2 linked regions of the Styela clava genome follow. Each later gene encodes a partner of the first gene's protein in a complex. Links are inferred from orthologs where the notes say so. Each region holds a gene or a part of one and is shown on either strand. Other genes may lie near its edges. The genes, in order: surfeit locus protein 1-like and small integral membrane protein 20-like.

Region 1 (6,300 bases):
AATATATTTCTGTGGCAGCATATCCGGAGGGAGAGGAGATGCAGAACTATATTGCCAAATTGTAGAACATATGAAGACGTTTGGTACTGTCCTAACAGAACATGTAGCGTCATTGAAGCAAACTGCTGATGGAAGAGTAGGACCCGATGGAAATCTATCTGCCACAGAGATCCATGATCGTGATATGGAATGGCTTACAGACAGTGATGTTGTTGTTGCTGAGGTTACAACACCCTCACTCGGAGTGGGATACGAAATAGGAAGAGCTCTAGACATGGGAAAAAACATTTTATGTCTATTTAGAGATGACGCTGGTCGTCGCCTGTCTGCAATGATTGATGGAGCTCAGTCTTCAAATAATAATATTAGTGTGAAGCGTTATATTGCCATATCAGACGCTCTTGAATATGTTAGTGGGTTTCTAGAAAAATCTCAAAATAAAAATGCAGCAGTGTAACTTATTAAGCATATCATGATCAAGTTTGAGTATTAATGCAAATTTGGTCATCTTCATCGAGAATGATGCAGCTTACAACCACTTTAATTTGTTTCACCTTACTCAAGCTGCACGAGTGTGTTTGAAACATTTCGGCATTATGCATATGAAAACTAATTACTCTAGGATTAAGAAATCCTCAACAAAACTAAATAATTCAATATGATTTAGTGTAATAAATATGCAATTATACATTATCAATTTTACGATGATGAATGGATTAGCATTTGGGTACTAGGTCGAGCATCTGAACATAGGCCTTATTCATAAAAAGTTATTTTAAAGTTTGTATTTAATCTAGTTTCTCTCATAATGAAGATAAAAAGTAATTAAATAAAAGGGTTACCATGTGATCTCGCAGTAAATTAGGTGGAAGTAACAAACAGTATCTCAACAAAAAACAGTGTTTCGTTATAATTATCATTTGTTTCATCAATTCGAAAATTAGACCTCACCGCATTGGATGTAGAAAATGCAGTCTAAATGAATTTAAGCTCTATCAGAATTGGTTATTCTGAAATTTGCAAGTCTTTTGACATAACACAGGATTAGCAATCAGAACATTTCACAAATCTTTATAAATTTTAGCTTCAATTGTTTACTCTAATACGTTTCTATTTACTGAACATCACTAGAATACCTCACCGTATGTATCTAGACCACCACATAAGGGCAGTTATAGCAGAAAGACTGTACCATGTAATAATATACGAAGCATGCTGATTCCATATACGAATACGTGTTTGACCGCCAATAGGTCCCCCAGGTGAAGAAGATTCTGCCACAGCATCAAGTAAAATAGGCTTTGTTCCAGATAACTCGGCCATTTTTTCAACATCAACATGTGACCATTGATTTAGTTCTATCATATTTGTACCTTTAATTTTTGTTCTTTCTGTAAGTCTCAATAGGCCGGTGATGTTCACCTCGCCATCAATTTGTCCCCGTTTTCTGGTTCCTGGATTTCTATAATCGCTATCGACAAAACCACGATTTATTAGGATACTGTAATCTCGTTCTGGGATATAAAATGGAGTTATGACATGTAACCCCACTCGACTACCTGTTGATAAAAGTGAGCCACCGCTTTGTTCTTTAAGCTTGGCAAAAGTTCTTGGCATTACATGCATTTCTTTTGAATGATCAAGTACACCATTCACATAAAATTTTGAGTACTCAAAGTCTTTTGAATTTATGCTTTCTAAATTCTGTGGGAGAGGTTGGGGTTCTGCTGTAGTCTTTTTATTGAGTGATTCTATTAAATCATTTTTCCATGTTCGTCTTCGAACTTGCCATGTACCAAGGCAAAATGTAGCAACAGGTATTCCAAATAAAATCCATTTCCCTGGTTTTGCGGTACTTCCATTTTGGTCGTTTTTGTACTCACGTCGTTTTATTACTGGTCTTTTTGATATTGATGCAGATTCATTTCGCTTGAAACAATGGCACCATTTCCGTGATCTGTTGCAAAATATGGGCCTAGAAGACATCATCTTTATCTAAAAATGAATAAGGTATAAAAGTACTCGGACCATCAACTTGTCTTAAAACATCTACGACAAACACATGTTTGAAGACATTTATGGTTCTCAATCCCAATAACCTTAAATCGATCCAAGTGGAGTGGGAGGAAAGGCAATACTGCAACAGGTATTTTTGTGATTCACCACGGACTGAAGGAATGAATCAAGTCACAGATAAACACACATATTTCAATGCAAAAAGCAAGCCATGTTAGTAAAAGTACCACTAACGATACCAGTACCGGTATATGAGCCTGCATATGTTATCCCGTGCACACCCCAGCACCTTATTAACATGTTTCAGATCCAGCTAGCTATCAGTTACGATACGAGAAATAGACAGATCAATTGTTAGCTTGCTGTAACACAGCAGCAGCTAGAGCCAGTTTTATTATATTTGTATGACCCGTTGGTCAGTGCTTTGCCATCCCCGACCCTTGACCCCAGGAAAAATATTATAAATTTTGGATGCTTATTTCGCGAGTGTTTTGGAGAGTTGGCACTTACAAACTTGTTTACATGCTCAAACCCATCATTACTATTGAAATATACAGTACTGTTAGTTTGGTAGTTTGTTTTTGATGAATATGATTACTTCATTTACAAATAATTTTCGGAAACGACTGAAAATACGCAAAACCGCAGAAACGATGCAATGCTTACAACCATGCTCGAATATCTGTATATATTCATGGTCTGAGAGAACAAAGTGTCTAAGTAACTGCAAAAATTGCAATTGTTACGTCATCTTCGACTTTTGACTGATTGGTCATTGTTACGGGAAAAACAAGGATATTTGGGGAAACACCCATACCATCATTTGGCAATGTTCCAGAAAAAACTTCCTACCCACTCAATCACTAATGGATATCACTGAGACATGACCGACGTTTGAACATGATGTGTCGTACCGGAATTATAGAGAAATTTGATTCAAAAAGTTTTGTATATTGGAGTTTACATAATATTTGATATGAAATCTGAGGGACAAACCAACACATCTCGAAAGACACTTGGGAGCCCCCCAAAATTACACAATTGTCATTTACCCGATTGAAAGTATTCATTTGACTTTACGATTTGACAGTGGCTTTTTAAATTTTTTGAAAACCATATAATCGTAATACTCTCTCCTATCTATACCCCACACATTTATCAATTGCTATTATTCTTAAGATGACTGCCTTTTGGTTGGTGTAAAAAGAAAATATCACTCTCTCTCTCTCTTTAATATGGAATATTCGTTAGCAAAACTTTTGATAACAGTATTTTATTGAGAAGGTATGTGTTTAAAAAGTGTGTATATATAAACAAACCTCCAATTCGAACAAAGATATTGATGCTCAAATATTTGGACACGAAATGGTACGGGTATGCAATCTGTCACAGAAAATTACCAGTAGTGTGGATTTTCAAATGTAGAGAAATCCATTTATTCAATCGTATTTAATTTTATAGGTACCATCTTGAACGATAACCATATTTGGGACGAAAAATAAAGTCATTTTTATGAATTTTCAAACTTATTCCTAGAAGAGATCCAGGTCCTATGTATTTTGTTTGTCCCTTTGTTGTTGTTTTGTTTGTATCAGAGTGACCAAATAAAATTGATTGAAGAGATGATTTCTAATACAAAGTTAGGGTTTACAAGGAAACCCGACAAGACGGATTAATCATATGACGAACCACGGCCTCTCGTCCGGTTAACAGGTCGGGTGTCTGACTAGTTGGTCAGTTATTTGTTTTGGACGGGTTTTGGTGGCGGGGGAAGACGTAACCGAGAAGCAGTTACGTGAAACACTCCATGGCGGTGAAGAGTCCATCAATCCTCTCGCACACAATTGTCCCTACGGTATTTCGAACCCAAGCGGGGTAATCAGTGGTTCAGTGGCGAGCGCATTTCCAACGCATGGCACGATGCGTCAAGACAGATAGCAAATCTTTTTTTATAATGAAAAAAAATCATTTGAATTCCCACCCAAAAAGTCTTTTCGTTTTATAATTATTGAGTCTTTAAACGAAGGCGACTGCGGAATGCATTCCGGGTTTAAGTTGAAATAGTACGAATTACTTAATTGTGAAAATGGCTGGAAAATAACGCCGCAACATCACCCAACCATGGAACCTAACAGCCAGATATAATGAATTGCAAGTTTTAAATCATTGAAACTTGTATAATTTAATAATAATAATAACGATTATTGCACAACAAAAGTAAGAACTGGAGAAACACATTTTAGTGATTTTTGTGTATGATCTTTATAACCGACTTTGTCACATAATTGTAATGAAATAGCGGCTCTAAAATCAAAAGAACCACTCCTGATGAACAGTACACCACATTCAAAGTATACAGTTTCCGACTTTTTTACTTGAATAGTGGCTCGGGTACATCCAACGAACATGACACAGTCTTCAAGATTCCGCTCAACATATCCATTTCGTTGATCTTGAAAAACATCCAACGACACCTCCAAGGTCTGACAAATGTTTGATTTGTTATGGAATTCAAAAGTTACATAGTTTACACTGTTTGTGGTAATAAAAGCACTGAGGGAACTTGTTATTGAATCGTTGCCATATAAAAGGGAGCATTCAATTGGACAGTTTATCATTTTACAAGAGCTTTCATATGAAAGTAAACTGGGAAGATGGATGTTTCCTCCATGTTCAAATTCATTGCCATCGTGTTTTACTTTCCAAGACAAATCCAGCATTTTTTTAATGTGAAGAATACATAGTTCATCAATAATGCCACTTGATGGTAGATCCATTTTTTGCATTTGAACTTGACAAACTTTTCCCTCATCACACTCAATTGGTATCATATTGTCATTGCAACCACCTTCACCATCAAAAGATTTGAAATGAATCTCTGCATCATATTGCAATGTATTTTTTAGATGCAAGCACACAAGACAATAATCACAAGATTTTGACTCTAGGCTCTTTACTTCAATAGCTTCAACTACAATACTGACATCAGTTTTTATAACCATTTCAATTTCTGTACATCGCCACCATATATCTTTACCCAAATTTCCTGCATACTTTATCGTAGCCACACACAAAAATTCTTGACACTTCTCAATTTCCAAAACAGTAGTTTTTGGTTCAATGTGCACAGGAATCTGAACAGTTTTCCCAGGAGGGAGTGATACTTGCTTAATATTGTCATCAACATTTATTAATATGTCTTGCATGTTGTGTTTAGTTTTAATTAAAATATTCCAATCACAAATTGGTTGTTTTCCAATGTTGGTAAGATGGAATGGTAAGTTTGTCTTTTCACCAAAATAATATACAATTAAAGGCTTCCCTTCCTCTTCTTTACATTTGTCATCCTTGATGCACTTTAGTAACGGCAAGTCACCAATAACTTGAATCTGTACTTCAGTTGTTTCAATGTTATCATTTTTGTTGAAGTAACATTTTGCATAAACTCCATACATTGAAAATGCATATCCAATAATAGTGACTGTACCTAATTCTACTGGAGTTACTTTAATCCCGACTTCAAAGGATGATTGCGGCGCAATGTTAAAAGTCTGTGGTTGACAATCTATAGCTGAACTGTTTGAATCAAGAATCAGCGAAAATTCTGATATCTTGATACTGCAATGAGAAAGTGGATTAAATACATGTACTATAATCTCGAACATTGTGTTTACACACCATCTAAAACAAATTTTTTTAAGCTCGTGTGTTTGTGACTGTCTAATCGTTGGTGTGTAAATAAAAACACTTTGAGCATCAGATTCAGTTTTAGACTTTGTTGGTCTCATTCCATCATCTTCAAATAAAGGAGAAATCTTAGTTATGACTGGTAAAACATAGAAGTTGAGTTCAGGTGATGTGCTATCGAGTACACTAATATTTTTCTTGACATAATTTTCCAATGCAGAGCAAGTTGCCTTTTCATCAGTTTCAGACAAATAAGGAAACATATTCAAAATCAAATAAAGCAAATAACGAAGTGCAAGACTATGATTATTAATTTTTTCCAAAGAATATACAAGTTCATGTAATATTCTAAGACTAATACTTGGCCATCCATGTCTGTTTTTAAGGTATGGGGAGATGATAGAGTGTTTAGTCGGACATGATATTGTGTTCAATAAAAGTCTGTTGCAAAGTTTCCAATCAGGTTCTTTGATATGATGTGCTACACATTGCATCGCAGCCACTCGTTTGTAAAATGCAGATTTTCTGTAAAATCCTATACTTTTATATAAATCAGCCATCACACTGTATCGTTGTAATCTTTCGGTATCTGAAACA
Region 2 (6,518 bases), on another chromosome or scaffold:
TATTTATATTTCAAATTGATTATAAATAGACCAATATTCATATACACTCTAAAATGGTTAGATTCCGTATAGTAAACTTTTGATTTTGAAAATATTGTTCAGCATATGATGGTCAGGCAAAGAAACCCCTGCAATGATGCAAAAACGAACTATTGTAAGACTACTACTATATTTGGTTTTATCCGCTCTAGCATGCATGCACATCAAACACAACATAAGAAGAATTATCCATCACTACACTAGGGCTGCGGTCTGCGGAGTTAAAAAATATTCTCCAGCCAGTTATGAGTCTGGTATAATTTTACCACGATCTACAGTTTTACGCCTAATAAATATCAAAACCGAGACAGCAGAAAGCAATAAAATGCAAAAAATCTTAAATTACAAAAATATTACAAATTCAATGGACTTTTGAGAACTTAATATCTTTCACAATTTTAGCCCCACCGATTAGTAACCCCACACAGTACCCCAGCATTGCCCCAACAACCCCAGGGGTCGGCCACAATTGCCAGGGTCTGTCCCAGTCAAGTGGGATTACTATAGCTGATGACCAACTGCCGATGATGGTACATATTGTGCAGTAAAATAGGGTCCGCTTTTGTGAAGAATCAAAATTCATTAAATTGAAAAGGGCAATCCATTTCCGGGGCTTTGGGCCGAGTATGCAAACCCCGGGCACCACGATTAGGGATGAAACTAACCCTGCCCATATCGAAGTTTTTTCAGCATTTTCCAACAGAGGGGCCCCAAAAATTACAGCAAAAAAATGAGCAACTGCCCAAAAACCAGCAAACAAAATAGCCGATTTTACAATAAATTTTAAAATTTGCTGGAAGCTGTTTTTTTTCTTCGACATGGGGTAATCACGCATCCCAATTTGGGGGTTTAAAGTGGGGTAAACCACCAAAAAGAGGGTGATTTGTAATAAACTATTTAAGACCATAAAAATATTGATCACTATAAGAGGGCTCTCCACAAGAGAAAAAATAGGGTTTTCAGTTACCAAAGAAAACACTAAAAATATGAATATAAACACAAATGAAACAATTTCAGGGAACGCAGCTTTAATTGGCGACCCATCTTGGGTGGCTGACTGTTTCAAACTTGGCACCATTTTAGATGCTACTTTGTTTTTATTTTATGAGAATTTCTTTAAAGAAAGGCTAAATGTAACAACTTAAAGATTATTGAGCTCTTTCCAAAGAACAATAATGTTACGAGTGGTCACAGGATAAACAGGAATTATAAATTATATAGGAATTTGATGACGCTGCAATCACTAGAAATTGAAGGTTTATGAAAAACTTGAAAGTTCAAAATAGAAATATTATAAATACAGTGGTAGCTGTAATATACAGCTTTGAATAAGGGAAGTGACTATTAAAAAGGTTATTATGACTACTTTGCAATATAATTTTGTATATTGCAACAGTTATTTCTTGATTTAGACTTTAGGCTCCTGTGCTGGCACTCCTCTTATTTACTCTCCTTTCTTCTGGTCTTTATCTGGCAATGGTGCAAATGGGTCTGACCAAACTCTCATACCACCAGGCTGGATATCTTCTTGGCTGATTCCTGCTCTCCCTTTTTCTTGGATTTCCTCTAAAACAGAGATAGAGAGATTTATTGTTTGGTCAACCAGAAAACAAGCATTACAACAATAAATAATACATAAAGTTATTCGGTATAGACGGAGGGGAGCGTTGCGACCATACAGTACGGCACAGTTCTCCGATTCCAAAAATAGCCCCCCCAAAAATAGCAAAACCCTCCTTTACGAGACAGTCTGGGCCTCCATACCGAAAAAAAACGTCACCATTGGATTCCTCGAAAATATTTAATCAGAATCGCCGAAAGAAAATAATTTCACCAAGGATTCGACAGTTTTTAGCAAAAACACGTATCCTTGGTCACATGACGACAGATTCAAGCTGCAATTGATTAAGTTATGAAAAGCACAGCATCATCCTCCTGCCATCGTGCCAGACGACCTTGCTATATTTAACCAAACTTCAGGACATCTTGGAAACCAAATTTTAGCTTCAAAAACTATGCCATATCGGCATATGCAAGCCTTAATTAAAAAACAAGCAGGCATGAGTCAATAAATCTAGTCGAAATAAAAGACATAGCCTAACAGTACTGGCAAAACTCAACTTACGATAAGCTTTCGAATTATACAGCGGGTAAATGTAGATCGGTCCAAAAGCTGCTCCAAGAAATACTACAAACGCGGCGATTAACCGATAATTCCTCGGATTTTTCACGTTCTTCAAATTTGGTCTTTCTTTTAGTTGTTGAAGTAAGAAATTCCTGACGAAAACCATCGCTCGGAAGCCAGAAAACTCCGAAGTTCTTCGCTAACTCAACTGAAAATTTTGCAACAAATGAACTTTTGTCCTCTGGCGATAGGGTTCAATGAACAGCTACATAATTCTAACTGTACATCTTTCGCGATCATGAGAAAAATTTAATTTGAAAATATCGGAATACAGATATTTTCAAATTGATATTTCAATATAAATTAAAAAAAGTAATGTATATTAAACAGCTTTGTTTATGAACCGCTCCTTTTTTTACTTCATTTTATGCTTTTATATTTTTTGTATCCGTCAGTTTATTGTTCCAATCCAACGACTAACATACCGTTCCAATCTGTGTACTTACCATACCACTATTAGCGTATTTTTCGACATAAGATAGATAAAATAAAATATAAATAATTGTTTTTATATGTTCAGTATGTAGAAAGAAAGATAGATTCGTTGATTTGTCAACCAAATACAAATAAATAAAAGACATACAATAAATAGAGAATATTTTTGTTACGGACTCGAGGGAGCGATGAAACGTCATCAATGACTTTGATTTGCTTGTAAATGCTTTATGCAACCAGTTATTTTGCTACAGTACTAAATATCAAATATAAACCTATTAAACATAATTATAAAAAAAGAATAAAATGAGTTCAAGTTTGAAAAATTAGAAAGAAATTCAATATTTGCTTGGTAATATAACAAATTAACATTATGAGAATTGTTGTCCCTCAGTATTACAGAATTCTGCAATAGCTCACATATTTATTAATAATAACAAAATGTACAATATAGAATGATGAATTTTATTAAATTTCTTTCTCTTCCTCTCTTTCTAAATTTTCTTCAAACCAATGACCCAAAACGTGAGAATTTTTATGGAAACTCAGACGCGTCCTCCAGTGGTTCGCTCTTCCGTCCTTTTCCGAACTTGCGACGATGGCTACACAAGTCTCTAAGAAGCGCAAGGTATTTTGGTTAGTTTTTAGGAATTTATTCAACTATTTGCTTCGTATTTTTATAATTTTGTATACCTTATTACCTAGTTGATACATATTTTGTAAATTTACGATTTGTAGTGATTCAGTTATCTCGATGTATTTGGATAAAAATGAGATACTTCATCCTCGCTTGCTTTCGCGCGCACGCTTATAGCTATCAATGTAATGGATTCATCTGCAGTGTGGCAATGATGACTAAACTTAGGACACCGAAATACTTCTTGAATGATTAGAATTAAGTTACTCTAGCTGAGCCACACTACCAATAAGAATTTTGCACTTCTGGTTGATACTTGTTTTAAAAAAAAAAATTGGGTTAAATTCATAAGTCTCTTGAAATTTCGCATGAGGTATTGAATGAAAACGTAGCTAAGCTAAACAAATACCGTCTAAAACAGCTCTGAACAGAAAGCTTGACTCAACAGGGAAACTCATTTTCTCTAGTTTCATCTAGCAAATAAATTTGGGATCCAGTTAAAATTATAATATTTAATCTTAAACTGACCGTGATTAAATCCTGCTTACTTTGACTAAACTAAATAATATCAACCTCATTTTTTTAAGTTCGTTCGCGATGGCCTATTCAAGGCTGAATTGAATCAATTGTTATGGAAAGAGTTGGCAGAGGATGGTTACAGTGGGGTCGAAGTTCGTGTCACTCCATCTCGTACTGAGATCATCATCATGGCCACAAGGTGATGCATTGTTTTCCGAAGCTTCAAGCTGACTTTTTATTTCTTAGATGTTTTTTCCTTGGATCTCGTGTAGTTCCTGTAGAGATTTGAGTCTCGTGAAGCAAACGCCGTAATTGCTTAAATAACGCTAAACAAAAATGTAATGTGAAAATACATCCCAAATTTTCATTTTTTCTTCTTAAAATAAAAGTCAGTCTTGCCCGAGCGCAATACGGTTGCGCGCATGGGACAAACTGGAGGCAGACAACTCGACTCACAAGAGGACAGATAGGTCGTCCACCTTTCCGACGGCGACGTTTTAAAACCGTACGGGTGTAATTTCGATCTTTTCACATTAAAATTCCACATCACATTTTTGTTGGGTGTTATTTGAGCATTTACAGCGTTCTTTTCACATCACAATTTTGTTAGGCGTTATTTAAGCAAGTAAGTCGTTTACTTCACCAGAACACTGGATTTCATGTCCATTATCTACCAGAAATCTGGCATGCAAATCCAGTAGTTCCAGTGTGCAATCAGTGACTACGGCACGCTTATCGTCCCGAGCCTGCGTTCGAACCTACTGACATCGCGTGAAAATCTAGATTCTTAGTGCAAAACTAACAGAATAGCCTTAATAATCATGTGTAAAATTATTGAAATTGAACAACCAAAATTTTTGTGCTTTAAACTATTTAAAAAGCTGATGTTAAATGAAGGTGTGCCCCACGATTTCACTTAGTTATTTGTATCTGGCCCGAGTGTATTAAAGGTTTCTTGCAGACCTCGGTCTTCAGTATGCACCACAGCAATGATGACTAAACTTAGGACACCGAAATACTTCTTGAATGATTAAAATCATGTTACTCTACCTGAGCTGTTGGTGTATACTGTAATTTATGTTAAAATCTATAATGCCCAAAATCTGGGTTGTTTAGAGTGTCCCATACAATGATTCCAACGTGAAACGATTCTTGAATAATTACATTGGATGGTGTAGGCAAAAATATGCTTGCTCTAACCACTATTGATGTCCAAATTAGCATATTTATCAAATAAATGGTAAACTGGCATTAAACCTAATTTGATATAGTTTTAGTGGCTCGTGGTATTTTAACTTTGCTCATAGATTGGTCTACTTCTGAATGTTTTTTAGCAAAATGCCACATTCCCTTTTGAACAACTGCCAAAAATCACAATTTCTAATATTTCAGAACACAGAATGTTCTTGGCGAGAAGGGTCGCAGAATCCGTGAGCTCACAGCCATGGTTCAGAAAAGATTCAACTTTCCTGACGGAACTGTAGAGGTATAAGTTTACTTCATTGTTTTTTTTTACTCTGGACAAGGCTCTTAACCAGCGGTCTTACTACTTACTGAATACAGCGCGAAACACCGCAAAGAGCGCGAAACAGAGGGAAAGAGCGCAAAACAGGGAAACAGTGTGAAGCAGAAAAAAATTTTGCAATGAGTTCGGGGCACTTTGTTTTGAGTTGGATTACCACGGCAGCAAATTAAAAACACAAACCAACGTATGTAGCCAGTTATGCTGTAATGGCAGGTCTGCCCCTGCTGGTGACACATTTTGGGTACCATAATTTAGAACATTTTCCATGTGGATATGGTTGGCTTTAGGGTTAGGTGAAAAGGGACCTCCAGAAGTATGTGCACCAAGATGGCGCACAACCTGAAAATAGTATGTGTGTGTGTAGCGGATTCAGGTTGTGCGACATATTGCTGCACATACTTCTGGAGCACCAAAAAGGTAGATAAAATTTCGCATGATGGCCTATAAACCGGTACATAACCTTGTAAATATACCGGAAATAGCGCCATAAAACCATGGCGAGAGGCGCCGTGGTTCTTTCGTGGCAGGAGGTGGTAATGACTGCGTCTCCTGTTTTGCGCTGGTTTCCTTCTGTTTTGCGCTCTTTGCGGTGTTTCGCGCTGTATTCAGTAAGTAGTAAGACCCCTTAACCAGGGGTCGGGCAAGGTTTTGGCGGCGGGCTGAATCCAGCTTGTTGGGTGATTCAATTTGGGTCGCCCGTTGCTGCCACAAAAAAACTAAAATCGTATTTTGAGGTTTTAGCTAAATATAGCTCAAATAGCATTGTTGGGATTGGGGGCGAATTTAGTTTTGACGCAAGGCTCATTGTTTTCCTGCTTTGCTTTTGTAACACCAATAGTTTAAGAACCCCTGTATTTGAATAGTAAATTTTGTTGTATTAAAGGCAAATGATGATCAGGATACCCCCGTCATAAGTGATTTGATGATAAACAGTCTCTTCACAAGCTGATGCCTTTGTTACAGTGAATACACAATAGTTTCATAGCAAAGCTTGCCTAAAAACTGATTCTACTTTCTAAGATTGCTCCTTTTTTTTTAATTTGAAAAAAAACATTTTTGTATCTAAATGGCAAGATTTTTAAAATTCCACGTTGTTACGGTCTAACTTCACAATTAGAACTTTCAAAACCCATCTTTGAGAATTCTTAGCTTATGCCCCTGCCTGACCTGTGTGGCAT

Evidence for each region.
Region 2: surfeit locus protein 1-like (region 1) and small integral membrane protein 20-like share a complex: the UniProt entries of both Homo sapiens proteins name them as parts of the MITRAC (mitochondrial translation regulation assembly intermediate of cytochrome c oxidase complex) complex. The link is inferred for Styela clava from reciprocal best matches to the Homo sapiens genes SURF1 and SMIM20.

Annotation. Positions count from the first base shown.
Region 1 is NC_135261.1:13,757,450-13,763,749, forward strand, and holds surfeit locus protein 1-like, read right to left. Parts: upstream 2,045-6,300; 5' UTR 1,990-2,044; coding exon 1,138-1,989; 3' UTR 764-1,137; downstream 1-763. Other genes in the region: 5-hydroxymethyl-dUMP N-hydrolase-like, read left to right, coding at 1-457; trafficking protein particle complex subunit 9-like, read right to left, coding at 4,218-6,300. UniProt on the Homo sapiens protein: Component of the MITRAC (mitochondrial translation regulation assembly intermediate of cytochrome c oxidase complex) complex, that regulates cytochrome c oxidase assembly.
Region 2 is NC_135263.1:1,580,863-1,587,380, forward strand, and holds small integral membrane protein 20-like, read right to left. Parts: upstream 2,402-6,518; 5' UTR 2,331-2,401; coding exon 2,165-2,330; intron 1,606-2,164; coding exon 1,484-1,605; 3' UTR 717-1,483; downstream 1-716. Other genes in the region: small ribosomal subunit protein uS3-like, read left to right, coding at 3,258-3,287, 3,884-4,014, 5,208-5,301.